Oryctolagus cuniculus: one gene and its partner. The protein of the gene in region 1 purifies or fractionates together with the protein of each later gene. This does not show direct contact. Links are inferred from orthologs where the notes say so. Each region holds a gene or a part of one and is shown in the gene's direction. Other genes may lie near its edges.

What was found.
Region 2: the proteins of UBE4B (region 1) and UBL7 purify together in Homo sapiens (affinity purification with mass spectrometry; 3 studies listed by BioGRID and IntAct, counting the BioPlex papers as one, with this or other methods). This does not show direct contact. The link is inferred for Oryctolagus cuniculus from reciprocal best matches to the Homo sapiens genes UBE4B and UBL7.

What each region holds. Positions count from the first base shown.
Region 1 is NC_091438.1:158,079,314-158,088,223, reverse strand, and holds part of UBE4B (ubiquitin conjugation factor E4 B), read left to right. Parts: coding exon 1-62; intron 63-2,894; coding exon 2,895-3,123; intron 3,124-3,564; coding exon 3,565-3,981; intron 3,982-4,657; coding exon 4,658-4,810; intron 4,811-8,910. UniProt on the Homo sapiens protein: Ubiquitin-protein ligase that probably functions as an E3 ligase in conjunction with specific E1 and E2 ligases. May also function as an E4 ligase mediating the assembly of polyubiquitin chains on substrates ubiquitinated by another E3 ubiquitin ligase.
Region 2 is NC_091443.1:109,214,265-109,223,885, forward strand, and holds the start of UBL7 (ubiquitin-like protein 7), read left to right. Parts: upstream 1-4,397; 5' UTR 4,398-4,439; coding exon 4,440-4,479; exon of another isoform or gene 4,480-4,734; intron 4,735-5,860; coding exon 5,861-6,073; intron 6,074-7,291; coding exon 7,292-7,411; intron 7,412-9,621.

The sequences.
Region 1 (8,910 bases):
CGACAGAGATGTTATCTTTCTTTCTTCTCTTTCTGCACAATTTAAGCAGAACCCAAAAGAAGGTAGGACTTGCTCAGCAATCTTCTTCCAGAGTGCTTCTAAGGGAATAACGTGTGAGACTTCGTGCCGTCTCACTTCAGAGCTGTGTTTTAGACTTTGGACATGCCTGTTGGTGAGAACAGTACTGGGTAGCCATTATTTTCCCTCTCCTTTCCCGATTTCTACAAAAGAAATGATAAAAAATAAGTTAATGACCTCCATTGTCTCAGGGTTGAAGTTTTTTCCTTTTCAGAAAGAAGGGGCTTAGAGGCTTCACTCCTCTTAGAAAGTGGGAGTGCCTGGGTCTGTCTTGGAGCTCTGAGAGAGGCACTCGCTGTGCCTGTACCTGCTTCCAGTGCCTCCCAGGCGTGTGCTGACAGTGGACTGAATCCGTCTGATTGAATTACATAGCAAGGCAGAGCATGATGACATCTTGCTGTGTCTCCAGGATTCTGTTTTAAGAGGCTTTGCAAAGCCAGCTTATTAACAAAATAATAAAATCCCAGCACGATGCCAGCCTTACAGGGCACTGCTACTTTTCCTTACGATAGTCACACAGAAGAGGTCTGTGAGGGGTGTGTGTTGGCATCTCACTGGGACAGAACCTCTCAGGAGAGGAGCCTGTGCCACTTCTGCTCGCTGGTGTGTAGATGGGGGTCTTATACCAAAAGTCCTTCAGCAGATGCACTGTAAGCGAACAGGTGAACACGGAGGAGACCGCCTTTCGCTCTCCAGTGCTGCCCGTCTTCCAGAGAGGGGCAGGTCCTTTGTGTTCCCTGGGGTGGGTAGGCTGTTTGTCATTCTGCTGGCATCTTCTTTTTTGTTATTTTTTTAAAGATTCTATTTATTATTTTGAGAAGTAGAAATGCAGAGGGAAGCAGAGACAGAGAGAAAGGTCCTCCATCTGCTGGTTAACCCCCAAGTGACTGCGATGGCCAGAGCCAGGAGCATAGCACAGAGCTAGATCAGTAGAGGAGCAGCCGGGACTCGATCCATGCCCATATGGGATGGATCCCAGAAGCGGATGATTAACCCCCTGCGCCACAGCACCAGCCCCTGGTGGCACCTTCTTAATCTCTCCTTGGAGCTTGGCAACTACTTGTTTCAGAACCCTGCCATGCAGTTTTCTTGCTGTAAGTCTTAACATTCTCAAATCAGGTAAAATTTACATGAGGCAGAATTTTCATTTGTTTAGAAATATTTTGAATGTATCTAAAGACCAGCAGTAAATCCGTTGAGAGCTGCAAAAATGGAGAAGGAAACTAGGATGTAGGACCTGCTGTAGAGAGCCAGATGGTGACTTACTATGGGACCCTTCATAATCTTCTGAACCTCGGACTTCACAGTGTACTGTATGTAAACTGCATATGAGCTAAGAAATATTAACCTGGTTGCATTTATAGTGTGGTAAACTATCCCCTAAGCTAGGGTTAGCTGCTTCTTTTTTTTTTTTTTTTTTTTTTTTTTTTTTTTTTTTGTTTCTTTTTAAGATTTGTTTATTGGAGAGGCAGAGTTATAGACAGAGGAAGAGAGAGAGGTCTTCCATCTGCTGGTTCACTCCCCACATGTCCACAGTGGCCAGAGCTGGACTGATCCGAAGCCAGGAGCAAGGGTCTTTTTTTTTTTTTTTTTTTTTTTTTTGACAGGCAGAGTGGACAGTGAGAGAGAGAGACAGAGAGAAAGGTCTTCCTTTGCTGTTGGTTCACCCTCCAATGGCCGCCGTGGCCGGCGCGCTGCGGCCGGCGCACCGCGCTGATCCGATGGCAGGAGCCAGGTGCTTTTCCTGGTCTCCCATGGGGTGCAGGGCCCAAGCACCTGGGCCATCCTCCACTGCACTCCCTGGCCACAGCAGAGGGCTGGCCTGGAAGAGGGGCAACCAGGACAGAATCTGGCGCCCCAACCGGGACTAGAACCTGGTGTGCCGGCGCCGCTAGGCGGAGGATTAGCCTAGTGAGCCGCGGCGCCGGCCCAGGAGCAAGGGTCTTCTTCAGGTCTCTCATGTGTGGCAGGGGCCCTAGCACTTGGGCCTCTTCCACTGCTTTCCCAGGCCATAGCAGAGAGCTGGAACAGAAGAGGAGCAGCTGGGACACAAACCGGTGCTTGTATGGGTTGCTGGCGCCACAGGAGGACGTATAACCTGCTACACCACAGCTCGGCCCCAGCTTTTTTGTGTTTTACAGCAGTGACTTCATTCCCGCTTTTATATTATTTTACTTTTTTTTTTAAACTTAGTTTCATTTTTAATTTGAAAGCAGAGAGACAGAGAAATCTTCCATCTGCTGGCTCCTTTCTCAAATGCCAGCAACAGCCAGGGCAGGGCCAGGAGAAAGCCAAGAGCCCAGCTCTCAATCTAGGTTTCCCATGTGGCTGGCAGGGACCAAGTACTTGAGCCATCGTTTGCTGACTCCCAGGGTGCACCTGAGCAGAACGAGGGGTTGGAAGCAGAGCTGGGAGTTGACCAGTCCCTCCGATATGGGAAGCAGGCATGCCAAGCATCAACTTAACCAGTTTGCCCATTTTTTTTAAATGAACTTTTAATTTTGGAATAATTTTATAGACTTAAAGAAAAGGTTCAAAGATAGTGTAGGACATTCCTATGTACATTTCTCCCAATTTCCCTTCATGTTGATATCTTACATGAGCATAACATGTTTTTCAAAAACTACAAGATTGCTGTTAACTAAACACCAGATTTTATTTGAATCTTTGCCAGATTTTCCACTCATGTCCTTTTGCTGCTCCAGAATCCAGTCTGGGATACCACATTGAGCCACCCTGGATCATTTTGGTTTATTTGAGGATCACGCGAATGAAGAACTGTGTGTAACCTGCTCTCTGTTCTGCCTTTCCAACAGTGTTCTCTGATTTTAAGGACTTAATTGGCCAGATTTTAATGGAAGTACTAATGATGTCTACTCAGACAAGAGATGAAAACCCCTTTGCCAGTCTGACAGCCACATCCCAGCCCATTGCAGCAGCAGCTCGGTCACCAGACAGAAATCTCATGCTGAATGCTGGCTCCAACCCAGGAACAAGCCCCATGTTCTGCAGTGTGGGCTCCTTCGGGGCCAGCTCTTTGTCTAGGTCAGTGTGGTTCTCTCTGCACATCTGATTGGTTAGCTGTGAAATACATAAGAAAAGGGAGGGTTTACTCATGATGAGAATCTGTGTCACACAGATTACGGTATATAGTCTGTTTGGGGGTTGGGTTCAGTCGTTGGAAGTGATATCATTTCCAAATTGGGGGTTTTTTGGTGGTGTTTTGTTACTTTGCTATCCACGGTTAGGCCATTGGCAGTTAAATCTTAGAAGCAAATGGCTGTCTGCTATACTATTTACTGAGGAGTGGGCTTTATAAATGTAGCCCATGGCTGAGTCCATAATTAGGTTATGGTTATTTAGATGTTTGCAGATACAGGATGTAACTGTACACTTCTTTAAAATCCTGATGCTTTCCATTTTAGTTACTTATCTCAAATGTTTCTTTGATTTTCTCTTCTCTCCTCCCTCCCTCTACTAATGTAGCCTCTATGAAACTAGCCCTACCCCCATTGCCAGTTTCTGGAGCTCTGTGCCCACGCTAGGTCCACCCTCTGCCTCACCCTCCCGGGCAGCCAGCCAGGTGGCCACGCCTTCTGCCTCTGCTTCCCTCAGTCCTCACAGCACAGCTTCTGGAACTGCTCTAGGAAGCCAGCCCTCGTCTCCCCGCTATCGCCCCTACACTGTCACCCACCCGTGGGGGGGTGCCCCCTGTCCCACCCCCCGGTCCCCCAGCATCAGCGTCCCGTCAAGCTCCCCAAGCCTCCGTGCGCTCACCAGTAGCCCCCAGGCAGTACCCACTAGCAGTTCCAGACAGCGGCCCAGCAGCATGGGCCCGCCCTTCCCGCCCGCCTCGCCCAGTGCTACACGCAGACGTCTGTCCCCCCTGAGGACCTCTCCTAGGTATCGGTCAGCAAGCAGCTGCGTGTGCGTGTGCAGTGCAGGGAAATGAGGTTAACATGCTTTGGGAGAACCGCTGTGTGGCACTGACCTCAGGGGTATTTGGGGGTTGTTTTGGGGTTATTAACCCGTATCGCTGGCTGACTCCGCACTTCTGCAAGACCTTGACCGCGTCCGAAAGCGTGGGCTGCTCTCTTGTTGCACATCCCTCTCTTCCCTCCTCCTCTGTGTACAAAAGGGAGAGAGAATGAACTTTGTTTCCTGCAGTCTGGTTCACCTGTCATTTGTTGCAGATGAATTTCAGAGACTGTGGTCAGGGCTGTCTTTGAGTTGGGGCTCACAGCACCTCTTTGAGTTTCTGTGCTGGTGCCATTGGTGGCTAAAACACCATCAGAGCGGGGAGCTGGGGGGCACATCTGGGCCCGGCGCCTTTTGCTTCTGCTGAGTGGCGCTGCTGCCTTGACACTTTGATTTTGGTTGCATGTCACTTCCGCCTCTTAGAAAGAAGCAGAGTTCCACGAAGGCGGCCCCTCCTCTCAGATGTCCCGCTGTGCTTCTGCATGGCAGTGGACGAAGCTTCTAGGGAAGGTTTCCGTAAGAAGACAGCGGCTGCGAAAGCTCTCCGCGTCTTGTTTCTCCTTTGCCCTGACTGCCTTTTTTGCTTTCTGTTGTGAGGTAGTGTGTACGACAATCCCTTCTCCTTCCTCTTCCTCGCACTTGCTGGGGACAGTAGTGATGAAGAAGATGAAGAGGATGATGATGATGATGGTGATGATGATGATGAAGGTGGTGGTGGTGGTGATGATGTTTCTTGTGTCCAGTTTGGGTCCAGGTATCAGGAGTGCCGGCTCACCCTGCATGTGCATAGTGCTTACGAACTAACTTGTGAGCCCTAATGAGGGTGCGCTTTGACTGCAGGCAGGAGAGGGTCAAGTGGGGGGCTAGGCAGTGTGTAAGTGTCAGGACCTTCTCGTGATAAAGGGGCACGTGGCACATTGTCATTGCTGTTGTCTGGTAAGTGTGGAAGACAACTGTATGTGTCATTGTTTACTACAAACCTGAAAGCAAACTAAATCATCACTCAGTTCCCCCGCCTCTAGGTCTGGAACTCTTCCTTTGTCCGTTGTGAGAGTGTTCCTGTGAGTCATCCACTGCTTTCCGAAATGCAGCTGCAAGGGTTACTGCTGTGGAGGATGGCAGAGGGCTGGGACCTGGGGTGTGTGTGAGCGGGAGAGGGGAGAGAGAAGCAGATCCCGTGAAGGACATTCCGTCTGAGGGAACAGGGATCCTGCTTTCGCTTCTAACCCTGAATTTCTCTGAGCACCTTCTTGACCTCAGTGAAGCCAGACTCCGTGTAAAGGAGCCTTCGGGAGGGCGGCAGAGGCTGACGCAGGGTTCCTGATGCTGCCACATGTGCACCCCCGAAGACAGAGTGAAAAGTGCTACTAGGGTTTTCTAGGTGACTTGGAGTAAGAAAGTGCACTAGCACTTTCTTTCTAATGCCCGACTCACTGCTGAACACTTTGGTTCCTAATTGGAAGTTTCCTCTGCACCAAGTCAAAGCTTCTGCCCGCACCGTTCAAATAACTGCCGAGGATCGAGAGACTGCAGGAGCCGTCAGGTGCACGGCGCTGAGCTGGGCGGAATTCAGGAGAAGGCTTGCAGGATAGAGGAGGGAGCCGTGCAGGGAGTCGCTGGACATTCCGTCACTGCTTCTCCAGGACGGATCCCAGAGGTGGGCGTGTCTCTTCACGCAGCGGGAGTTCTGCTAAGTCAGCAGGCCTCCTCCTGAGGAGCCCGTCTCCACCCCTGGCAAAGCTTGGTCTCTTCCACTACAGAGTTCACCCTTCTTCCCCCCTCCCTCCCTGGACATCTCCCCTCACCTCTGTGTGTTGTGTGCATACTGTCTCATCAGAGGGTCACTGACCCTGACCCCTGACCTCATCACATTAAACACGATGTGCCCCCTCCCTCTGCTGTGCGCTGCAGGTATTTGGCTCCATAGCACGCGCCTAGTTGGTTTTTAACTGCCACTCCCCTCAGTGTAACGGCCACATCTACAAGGCCTCCGTCCGTTTGATTCAGTGCTGTGCCCCGGGGCCTCCGGTGGTGCTTGGCATGCATCTCTTGAATGAGTTTATGGAACTTGAACCTGCACAAGTCTGACTGCCTCACATTGCGAAAAGCAGGATTTCCAGGCTGCCGTTGAGAAGTTAGTAGAGGGGGGGAGCTGCAGCAGAGTCCCTTTGGGAAGCAGGTTGTCTGGGGTGTAAATGGGATTCAGTCTGCGCTCGTGGGACGGCGTTACCTCCCCATGAGTCGTTTCATCGTGTTTTCAGAGGATTGAGCTATGTTTCTTCTGTTGTTAAGACTTTTAAAAATGTATTTGGAAGGCAGAGTGACAGGAGAGAGAATCTTCCATGTAATGGTTCACTCTCCAGATGGCCACACTGGGGCTGAGCCACACTGAAGCCAGGTGGCAGGGACTTAATGCCATCTTCTGCTGTTTGCCACACACATCAGCAGGGAGCTGGGCGGAGGCAGCGTGGCTGGGACGGAACACAGACTGGAGCCAGTGTACAAGATGTGTGTGTCCCAAAGGGCAGCCTAACCTGCTGTGCCACTATGTGGACCCCCAAGCTGCTTTTTGATTAGGTGCATTACACGATTAAGTGGGACTGCTGATGGAGGCATCAAAAGGCAGTTCACATCCTCTCCAAGAGGGAGGTATAATTTTTTAGATCCTCTTAGGACTTCACTGTGATATGTTTCTAAGATTTCAGCATATTGCAGTTGTAAAAGCATCATGAATTTTTAAAAAGTTTTTGAGGAAAAATGAAGAGCTACTTTAAATATTTTAGAGGTTTATTGATAGTATAAATTTATACATATAAATTATGCATCACTCCTTCAGAATGGCCTTCAAAATTCAAATCCAACTCTTTCACTTTGAATCTAAAAAATCCCCATAAGTCAACTTTGACCATTGACACTTGGGCTGAGCTTTGGTGAGCCTGGCCACTCTCCATGCTATGGTTCTGAGTTCCTTTGGCATGTTTAGGGTGGGTCCTATTATTTGGGGCTTATTCTACATTCTCATTTTTTTAAAAAATTCCTATTTGGTTTTATTTATTTATTTTTAAAGATTTATTTATTTATTTGAAAGAGTGAGAAGGAGAAAGGGAGGGGGAGAGGTCTTCCATTCACTGCTTCACTCCCCAATTGGGCGCAACGGCTGGAGCTGCGCGGATGCGAAGCCAGGAGCCAGGAGCTTCTTCCAGGTCTCCCATGCAGGTGCAGGGACCCAAGGACTTGAGCCATCTTCCACTGCTTTCCCAGGACATAGCAGAGAGCTGGAAGTGGAGAAGCCGGGACTCGAACCAACACCCATATGGGATGCCGGCACTGCGGGTGGTGGCTTTACCTGTATGCCACAGTGCCAGCCCCTCCTATTTAGTTTTATTTCATCCACCTCCCACTCCTGCTTCTTTATCTTGAAAGTCATCTGGCTGTTTGGTACGTTACCAATTATCACTAAAATACACCAAACTCTTTTACCTTTGAAAATTCTCTATTTTTTTAATAATTAATTAAGAGCCAGAGATGCAGTCAGACAGAGAGGACGCACCCACTGGCCGACTCCCCAAATGCCTGTAATGACTCTGGGCTGAGGACCAAAGCCAGGAGGCAGAGACTCAATCCAGGTCTCCCTGTGAATGGCAAGAACCCAATTATTGGAGCCATCACTGCTGTAGCCTTACACAGTCTGTGTTAGCAGACAGCTGGAGTCAGGAGCGAAGGTCAGGAATTGAACCCAGACTCTCCACTATGGGATGTGGGCACCTTAACATCTGCCATCTAATATATTCTGAGTGCCTTCTGATGTATTGCCTGGCATAAGATAAAGTCTTCTACAAACATTGTTGCTTTTCATGTCTTAGTGAAATACTTTGAAAAATATTTCAAGTGACAGTGAGGGGTTTGAATTTAAGGAAAATTAAAAGGAACATGGGGCCAGCATTGTGCTGCAGTGGGTTGAGCCACTGTCTGCATGCCAGCATCCCATGTGAGTGTCTGTTCTAGTCCTTGCTACTCTAATTCTCATCCAGCTTCTTGCTAATGTGCCCAGGAAAGCAATGGAAGATGGCCTAGGTTTGTGGGCCCCTGCCATCTACCCATTCACGTGGGAAACCTGGATGGAGTTCTGGCTTCTGGCTTCGGCCTGGCCAAGCACAGGGCCATTAGGCCATTTGGGGATAAAAGATTTCTCTCTCTCTCTCGTCTCCCTCTTTTTCTGTAACTCTGCCTTTCAGAGTCATTTATATTAGAGCCACAGACAAAGTGAGGGAGAGACAAAAAGAAAGGTCTTAAATCTGCTGGTTCACTCCCCAAATGGCCTCAGTGGTTGGAGCTGAGCCGGTCCGAAGCCAGGCACTTCCCCTGGGTCTCCCAGGCGGGTGCAGGGGCCCAAGTATTTGGTCCATCTTCCACTACTTTCCCAGGCCATATCAGAGAGCTGGATCAGAAAGAGGAGCAGCTGGGACTAGAACTGGCATCCATATGGTCTGCCGGCGCCATAGGCAGAGGTTTAACCTCCTATGCCATAGCACTGGCCCTTCAAATAAATAAATCTTTATTTATTTTAATTTTTAAAAAATATTTATTTATTTGAAAGTCAGAGTTACACAGAGAGAGGAGAGGCAGAGAGAGAGAGGTCTTCCATCTGCTGGTAAACTCCCCAATTGGCCACGACGGCCGGAACTGCGCCAATCTGAAGCCAGGAGCTTCTTCTGGGTCCCCCATGCGGGTGCGGGGGCCCCAGGACTTGCGCCATCTTCTACTTCTTTCCCAGGCCGTAGCAGAGAGCTGGATCAGAAATGGAGCAGCCAGGTCTTGAACCGGCGCCCATATGGGATGCCGGCGCTTCAGGCC
Region 2 (9,621 bases), on another chromosome or scaffold:
GATCAGCCTATGAAGCCAGCGGACAGGCGATCAGCCTATGAAGCCAGCGGACAGGCGATCAGCCTATGAAGCCAGCGGACAGGTGATCAGCCTATGAAGCCAGCGGACAGGTGATCAGCCGCCACTCGAGACGGCTGGTGCGATTTAAGGCATCAGTGTGTCCGCTGGGGGTACTGTATTCTGTTCCTGATCTGGATGGGCTGTACCGTGTCTATGCAGCAGAACGTGCCCTTGCGTTCAGGAAACATCCATGAATATTTCAGGTTCATGGGACATTATGTACGCAACTGGCTCTCCAACGCCCTCAAATGGGAAAAAGGAATAAAGCATGTCTAGAATGACAGAGAAAGAATGGTAGGTAAGGGGCCGGCACTGTGGCGCAGTGGGTGTAAGCCCTGGCCTGGGGCGCCAGCATCCCATATGGGCGCCAGTTCTAGTCCCAGCTGCTCCTCTTCTGATCCAGCTCTCTGCTGTGGCCTGGGAAAGCAGTGGAAGATGGCCCAAGTCCTTGGGCCCCTGCACCCACGTGGGAGACCAGGAAGAAGCTCCTGGCTGCTGGCTTTGGATCAGCGCAGCTCCAGCCCTTGTGGCCATCTGGGGAGTGAACCAGCGGATGGAAGACCTCTCTCTCCCTCTCTCTGCCTCTTCTCTCTCTGTGTAACTCTGACTTTCAAATAAAATAAATAAATCTTTTAGAAAAAATGATAGGTAAATGTAAAATGCTAATAATTGGGGACTTTGGGTAAAGGGTAGAAGGGAGCTATTTCACACTACTTTTGCAACACTGCTGTCAACTTGAAATTGTTTAAAAAAAGCAAAAATATATTTTCAAAGACAATTTTAACATGAGAAAATATTCAAACTAAGTGAAACGTTATTAATTTTTTTTTTTGACAGGCAGAGTGGACAGTGAGAGAGAGAGACAGAGAGAAAGGTCTTCCTTTGCCGTTGGTTCACCCTCCAACAGCCACCGCGGCTGGCGCGCTGCGGCCGGCGCACCGTGCTGATCTGATGGCAGGAGCCAGGTACTTCTCCTGGTCTCCCATGGGGTGCAGGGCCCAAGCACTTGGGCCATCCTCCATTGCACTCCCGGGCCACAGCAGAGAGCTGGCCTGGAAGAGGGGCAACCGGGACAGAATCCGGCGCCCCGACCGGGACTATAACCTGGTGTGCCGGCGCCGCAAGGCGGAGGATTAGCCTAGTGAGCCGCGGCGCCGGCTGTGAAATGTTATTATACAAGCATGTAGAACTATCTAAGTTTTGTTGAAGACGTGTTATTTAAATCAATCAACTGTGTTTATTTTTTAAATGCAGAGTGACAGAGAGAAAGAGACAAAGAGAGACACACACAGAGAGAAAGAGCTCTTCCATTCGCTGGTTCATTCCTCAATGGCTGCTACAGCCGGGGTTGGGCCAGGCAGGAGCGTTAGCGGGTCTCCCATGTAGGCGAGGGCCCAAGCACATGGGCCCGCATCTGCTGCTTTCCCAGGTGCACGTGGGCTGGCAGCAGAGCAGCTGGGCCTGGAACTGGCACTCACACAGGATGCCAGCCTTGCAAGCAGCTGACGAACAACGCTGAGACAACACCAAGTTCTCGACTATATTTTCAGAAGCATAAAGTAAGCTAACAATTGCCGTCAGTCTGTGCTAGAATACCCATCCTATATCAAAACAAAACAGAATGTGAGCACCCATGCCACCAGAAGTCAGTGTATTCTGTAGATGTAGCTATCTTTGGGTACAGGAATCAAGATGCGTGGTACTGGCACAACGACAGAAAACTGTATTGATGGTGGGGCAGGTGTCTGAGTCAGTGGTTAACGGGCTGTTAGGGAGGCTGGCGCTGTGGCACAGAGGGGTAGGCTGTTGGCCTGCACTGCCAGCACCCCATACTGGTGCCAGTGCAAGCCCCGGCTGCTCCACTTCAGATCCAGCTGCCTGCTAATGCCCCTGGGAAAGCAGCAGCAGATGGCCCAAGTGCTGAGACCCTGCACCCACGTGGGAGACCAGGAAGAAGCTCTAGGCCCTGCTCCGCCCATTGTAGCCATCTGGGGAGTACACCAGGGGGTGGAAGATCTGCCTCTCCCTCTTTCAAATCCATCAACCTAAAAAAAAAAAAAAAAACACACACTAATGGGACAGAATTGACAGAAACTGACTCATACACAGTCACCTGATTTTTGACTTTCACAATAAAACTTTCCGTGAATATTTGCTAATGGTTTGCTCACACACACACACACACACACACACGCTCAGTTTGGCTCTCTTATTTCCTGTCAGACAGCTTTGGCTTGCTCCAAAGAGCATTTATGTTGCTTTGCCATGAGCCTCAGGACCAGCTTTGGGTGTTCCTGCACAGCCTTGGAAAGTCCCCCTCACACGGGCACAAAGACACGTTTCGGTTTCCGATTCTCGGGTGAGCCCCGACTTTCACACATCAACTCCCCGCCCACTGCCCTCGCCGGGCCAGGCAGAGAGAACTTCCCGTACCCTCCCTGCAGGCTGGCCGTGACCTTCCCCGCTCTCCGCCCTTTCACTTAGGGTGCAGCTATTTTAAGGGTTTCAACTTCAGGCGGAGCTGGTTGTCAGTTTCAGCATCTCAGGTGTTAAAGCAAAAACTCCCGCAAGGTTGCCCAGACCGCAAGTCTTTCTGGGGAGGGGCCCAGCGGCGCTGACGCTCACCGCTGCGTTTCGGTTCCTCCATCTCCGGCGGGGGCTTTTCCACTTCTCCTGGGACTGCAGCCGTGCGGTCCTCATGTATGACTCCATTCACGCTTGGGTTGCATAGAATTATTAGTATTCTACACACACTTGGGCTGGGACTTTTGCTGCTACCTCGCCAGACCCAGAAATCCTTGTATTAATTTCAAAAGCAGGAAAGAACGCTATTTGTAACATGTCAGCACCCACGTGCTGTGAGGGGTGCTGCGTGGGCTGCTCGCTCTCTTGCCGGTTCTGATGGCCCAGCGCTATCTCAGAGCCCCTCACCGTGGACGGGCCGAAGGGCTGGGCCTGCTCCTGCGTCCCGGTCTTGTGTCCAGGTTAGCATTTTCTCTAGGACCCGGCCGACCCTCACGTTGGAGCCCAGCGCCCATCCACGGCTGGGTTCCCAAAGAATCTGTTTATTCCCTCATCCACTTGCTCATCTCCTCTTGGGGAGCAAGACAGCTAGAGCGCATAGCTGTGGCCCGAAGAATCCATCCAACACTTCCTTACTGCGCACCCACTATGGGCCAGGCCCTAGTCCGGTGGAGGGCAGGACAGAGTCCATTCCCCCACGGAGAGGCCAAAACTACTCTAAAGAACATATTCACAAGCTCCCAGCGCGGTCAGACAGGGTCGCGGGCTCCTGCTGCAGGCGCCAAGGCACAGTACGGACGTCTGATAACAAGACGGGCAGCGTGGTCAGCGAGGCAGACAGGACCCCAAATAGGGCGGGATGGTTGGGGCGACTCCTGAGACGTGGCGTGGCTAAGGGCGGGCCGGTAGGGTGGGCTAAGGGGGCGCCTATGGGGACAGCCATGAGGGGCCTGGGCTTCCGTCCGAAGCCAGGGCAGACCCTGGGGGAGCCCAGCAGGAGGGCGGTCATCCTGTGGCCGGTGTCCGAAGCCAGGGCAGACCCTGGGGGAAGCCCATCAGGGGCGGGGGTCATCCTGTGGCCGCTGTCCGAAGCCAGGGCAGACCCTGGGGGAGCCCATGGCGGGGGTCATCCTGTGGCCGGCGTCCGAAGCCAGGGCAGACCCTGGGGGAGCCCCGCAGGGGGGCGGTCATCCTGTGGCCGGCGGAGCAGCCCCGGCGGCCGCCATCGTCTACCTCGCCACCTCCGGACATCCACCCTTTCTGCGGCGGCTCCTCTCGGGGCTCCAGGCCACCCCACCCCGAGCCCGGTCCGGAGTCTCTCTCCAGCACGGAAGCTAACTCTAAACTCGTGCAAACTCCCCCTCCGCACCCCGCCGCGGCAGAGGGCGCCCCGGGAGCCCCTCCGGGACCAAAGCCGGGCGCACACCGGGACGCCCCCATGGGTAAGTCGCTGGCGGCGGGCGCAAAAGAGGCCGACTCCACGCGTGGGCGGAGAGCCCACCGGCGACGGGCGTAGCGAAGGGAAGGAGGGGTCGCGGCGGGACGCGGGTCAGGGGCCGCCGAGGGCCCAGCGGCGGGCGTCTCCACCGCCGGACCCCACACGCTCCTCAGCGGCGCGCGGGAACCGCCGGGCTGGACACTGTCTTTGAAACAAAAAAAAACGAAAAAACCCACAAATGCCTGTCCCGCGACTCGCGGGGGCGGAAGATGCGGGACGCTGCCCACAGAGAGGCGAGGCGCAGCGCTCCCGCGGGGCAGTTCGAACATCCCGGAAGCCGCGCCCTCCCCGGAACCGGAAGCGTCGCCGCCACGAGCCCGCCCGGGGCGGGGCCACGGCGGGGACTGCAACTCCCACAATGCAGCGCGGCGCTTCCGGTTTCCGGCGCGAGGGCCTGAGTGAGTGTTTACACCGGCGGCCCTGCGGCCGGGTTCCTTCCGCGGGACGGGTGAGGGCGCCGGGCCCCGGGTCGCGCGGGCTGCACGGGGGGCGACTGGTTAACTGGCCGCGCGAGAGCGCTGGGGTCGCCGTGGGACAGCGCCCCTGCCCCCACCCGTCCCTGTCCGTGATCGTGACCGGGTCTCGATCGCGGCGTCGAGTGGAGGGATGGTGCTGCCCGCCTCGGGAACGCGTGTCCGGCTTCAGTGAGCGCGGTGCATATAAAAAGCCCCCTTCCCGCATCTCTTCCCTGTCTTGAACCTGGGGTGGGAGGTCCCTTGGGGGTGCAGCCTCGTGGCCTTTTCCGTCCTCTCTGCTGCCAGAGGCCTGCTTGAGGCGGTAGCGATGCCTGTGACAAGGGCCTGACCCGAGTCTCCCACCCTCAGAGGTTCCCGATTTATTTTCTGGCCGGCCGTGTGTACCAGGGACGGAGACCCTAAAGGCGGCAGATTTTAGGGTCTTCTTGGCAGTGTGGGGCGGGGGCGGGGGCGCTGATGGGAAGCTGTAGCCCCCTTTGCCTCCAGGGGGCAGGGGACGTGGACACGGAGGAGGTTGTAGGTGGGTCGGTCTTGCTAGAAGTGTGCCAAGAGGCCAGAAAGGGAAGAGGACACGGGTGAGCGGGCCTGTGCCCTGGGCGGTGGGCGGTGGGCGGCGAGGTGGGGCCGGGCGGAGCTCTGATGGGGCGGAACCTTCAAGCCGGGCCGTGCAGGTCAGAGCGTGGAGCCGCTGGAGCGGTCATAAGCAGAGAAGTGACCGGACCGCACCTGCGTGTCAAAGCGCTGGGGGGCCGGCCCGGGGGGAGGGGCAGCGGTTAAAGGCCCCGCCCGGGCGCCGCCTCCCACGTCGCAGTGCGGGGGTTCAAATCCCAGCTCCTCCTGCTGCACTTCAGCAGGTGAGGGCTCAAGGAGCTGGACCTCGGCCATGCACCTGGGACACGTGGGTTGAATTCGGGGCCCCCAGACACTGGCCGATGGGCAATGGAGAGTGGCAGGTGTCTGTTTCCGTGCCTTGCAAATAAAATGTAAATAAATCAGGTTTACGATGGTGAGTTGGGTGGCCTCGTGGAGGTTTGGTGAGAGGCAGCAGGCAGAGAACTTGCTATGAAGCCGGGAGTGAGTGGGTAGACGAGAGGGGGCTGGGTGGTTTCCTTTGGGCCTCAGGACATTCCTGTGGGGTTGGATGGTGCTGCAGGCCCCTGCTGCCCGACGCAGGATGAGTGCTGGTTCTGGCCCAGATGCTGCATCCCGGGCTTCAGGACACCTGTCTCAGTCAGCCCCTTGGCAGGTGGGCGTGGTGGGGAGGGGCCTGAGCTCCGGCCACTGAGGCTGTGTTCTTTCACAGGGAGAAAGAGAGAGCGCGAACGAGAGAGGATGTCTCTCTCAGACTGGCACCTGGCAGTGAGGCTGGCTGACCAGCCCCTGGCCCCCAAGTCTGTTCTCCGGTTGCCAGAGACAGAACTGGGGGAATACTCGCTGGGGGGCTACAGTATCTCCTTCCTGAAGCAGCTGATTGCCGGCAAACTCCAGGAGTCTGTCCCGGACCCCGAGCTGATCGGTGAGCCTCCGCGTCGAGGTTGGGCGGCTCTCGGCTCTCTCTGAGGAGGGCGCTTCTGGAGTCCTGGGCTTGGATTTGTCTGGAGGTGTTGGTACACCAGGGACGTGCGTGTTGGCTGACCAGACACACGTGTCTTACAACAAAGCGGCTGGTTGCCGTCTCAGTCCGTGTTGTACTGACCGCTTCACCACCAGCTGCTCGCCTGTGACCTCACTGAGCTCTGCCTCTCGAAGGGCAGACACCTGGGAGGGAGGGTCGGCCGGGGAGGACTGCTCAGCGGGTAGCATTCGGGACGATCGATTGGAAGGTCTTTTTTGTTCTTGCATTGTCCCGTTCATTTGAATCTCGCAGCGTCCGCAGGGTTAAGCTGGAAAGCTTTTCTGTGCCAGTTTCCGTGTAACTCCATTTTATGAGTTTGTCCTAACAATTGTTAAAATCCATTGATTGAAGCCGGCATTGTGATACCGCCGCTCGTGATGCCGGCATCCCATACAGGTGCCGGTTTGAGTCCTGGTTGCGCTGCTTCCAACCCAGCTCCCTGCTAATGCGCCTGGGAAGCCAGCAGATGATGGCTCAAGAACTTGGGCCCTTACCACCCACGTGGGAGACCCGGATGGAGTTCCGGGCTCCCGGCTTCAGCCTGGTCCATCCCCGGCCATTGCAGCCATGTGGAGAGTGAGCCAACTGATGGAAGACCTCTGTCTCTGCCTCCCCCTCTACCCGGCTCTGCCTTTTGAAGAAAGAAATTTTTTTTTTTTTTTGACAGGTAGAGTTATAGACAGTGAGAGAGAGAGACAGAGAGAAAGGTCTTCCTTCCATTGGTTCACTCCCCAAATGGCCACTATGGCCAGAGCTGCGCCGATCTGAAACCAGGAGTCGGGTGCCTCCCCCTGGTCTCCCATGCGGGTGCAGGGCCCAAGCACTTGGGCCATCCTCCACTGCCTTCCTGGGCCACAGCAGAGAGCTGGACTGGAAGAGGAGCAACCGGGACTAGAACCCGGCGCCCATATGGGATGCCAGCGCCGCAGGCGGAGGATTAACCAAGTGAGCCACAGTGCCGGCCCCAAAAGAAATACTTTTTAAAAAATCTATTAAATAAGAGTGTCCTTTAAAGTGTACATCACTCCCCAGCTGTCTGTGCGACCAAAGTAAGGTTCTCCGGGGCCAGAAACTGTACATTGTTGGAGGAGCAAACTGTAAAGGGGCGGTTCTTCTCAGATTTGATCTACTGTGGCCGGAAGCTGAAAGATGACCAGACCCTTGACTTCTATGGCATCCAGCCTGGGTCCACTGTCCACGTCCTGCGCAAGTCCTGGCCTGAGCCTGATCAGAAACCGGGTGAGTAGGGGTCGGCCGTCGCACAAGTGGGCGGGCCTTCTGTGAGGGAGGGGTCAGCGTGCTCCCCAGGCAGCAGTAGGGGGGTTGGTTTGTTACTTACGGGATCAGACCGCGTTGGTAAACAGAGTCCCGTTTGGGCCTTGCTGGCCGCTGCGGTGAGATGTGTGTAAGTTCCACTCACTGCCCTCGCGGGGGTTGGAACGTGGGTCTGGTCACAGTGGCTCTGGGTCCCTCCTTTAGTGTTGTTCTCGGCCCCGGGAAAGCTCCGCTCTTCCTTCTCATTGGCAAATCCTCACGCACGTCCGCCCCTCGGGCCCCGTCAGCTGACTCCCCTGCCTTCCTGGTGTGCACGTGGCTCTTAGCGTGTGCAGAGCTCCGAGGCCTCCTGATCCACCCACAGAAGGCGCCGCTTGGAATTCCCAGTGGAAATCTGTTCGGCGTACTAGCTCCCCCGCCCCCAGGGTAAAGCCACGTTGTGTGAGAGAGATTGACTTGTTCGACTCGCTGTTGTGATGTTCGCGATCGCTGTGACGAGCTGTCAGCCTAGGCCGACATTCCTGCCGGGAACGGGAAGGACAGACCATCTCCTGACGGCAGCGAGGAAGAGAGGGGCAGCCCTGCAGTGCTGTGGGCCTGGACACCTGCGCCGGCCGCCGGCCTCGCACAGGGACACCTGCGGCCACTGTGGGTCAGGCCAGAAGCAGGGTCCAAGCCTAACGCCTGGCCCAGACAGCCCCTCTCCTGGCACGCTGCCTTTCCCCACGTGCACCTGTCGTTTTCCTTCCTTGTAGATGAGAGTTCTAAAAGACGCCCAGTCGTGAGATCACCCCACTCTGCCTCTGCAGACCTCCCAGCCCCAGCCCAAGCCCGAAGCCTGCGTCTCTGGCTGGAGCAGTGGGCCCAGCTTGCTCGGATGCGGGCGGGCCGCGTGCTCTCTGGCTGGAGGAAGTTGACAGAAGGAAGAAACATGTGTGGCTCCCGTGAGCCAGGCTTTCCCTTTGATGCCACACTCCATCATCCCAGCGGCCCTGCAGGGGCGGCGGCGGCATGAGCGCTCCGTAGATGCAGAGGCCTGCAGGGGTATTATTCAAGGTCACCTACTCAGAAAGCAGAGCTGGGGCGGGACCTGGGTTTTCCTGGCCTGCAGAGCCTGGCTTCTTCCTGCCCCTCTTAGCCCGTTGCCAGCTCGGGATAGGACGAGGCCTTCTCCTGGACATTTATGTTTGAAACAGATGGACTTCGAGATCTCGAAAGAAATTGATTTGTGACACCATTCAGACTTTCTCCGTGGGCACTGCTCCAAGGAAGCACGTCTCTGGCTCTCCTGCTGGATGGGAGCCAGCCCTAGATGTCCTCGGTCCTGTGGGGCGGGAGACGGAGCCCTGAATTCAGGGTCTCACGTCAGCCTGCTCTAGGCCCACGGGTGTGCACGTGCCCCGAGCTGCAGTCCCAGGCAGCCGCTTGCTGCTCCTTCAGCACCCACATTCTGCTTTGTGCGTGTTCCTGCTGAGGCTCGGGGTACCTTCTTCCCCCAGGAAACACCTCTGCGGGAGGCAGCCGTGTGTCCTGGCCCTGCCTCAGTGATGGCCGTCCGCCGCCACGTTCCCAGTGTCCGAGCTAGGACGAGATCTCCGCTGGCGTGTGTGACCGTGGGCTTGTCCGTTGCATCCGGTCTCCTTTCTCCTGCCAGGGGCTCCCTGGTGGCGGGTTCTTGCCTGCAGTCCTGTGCCTGGCCCAGAGCCAGGTGTGGGCTTCACGCGCAGCAGGTGCCTTGGGTCACTTAGGTGCATATTTGTCGAAGGAGGCACCCTCATGAGGAGCACCGAGCCAGGGGCACGCTGCCAGGTTGCACCCCGGGGTGCTGTTCCCCTCGCTCTGGGAGTGTTGCCCTGGAGCTGGGTGGTGCAGAACGTGTAAGGTCACAGGGAGCGGCCTTGAGCAGTGCCCAGGGTGAGCTTCCCGCTGCTCCCCTCGCGCCACTCACATTTCTTCCCCTGTGAAGTGGGCTGATGTCCTGAATAGCGAGGGCACCCGGCGGACCCGAGACAACTGCCGGACCTTCTCGCACACACGGGTAGAAGTAATCTGCGCCAAAGCAAACTGAGCTTTTAATTCCATTTTCCATGAGCTTTCTGGAGTGCCCTGTGTATGGGTCGCAGTGTCCAGGGGTCGCAAAGGAATTTGGGGCCTGTTGACACGCTCGCTTTGGG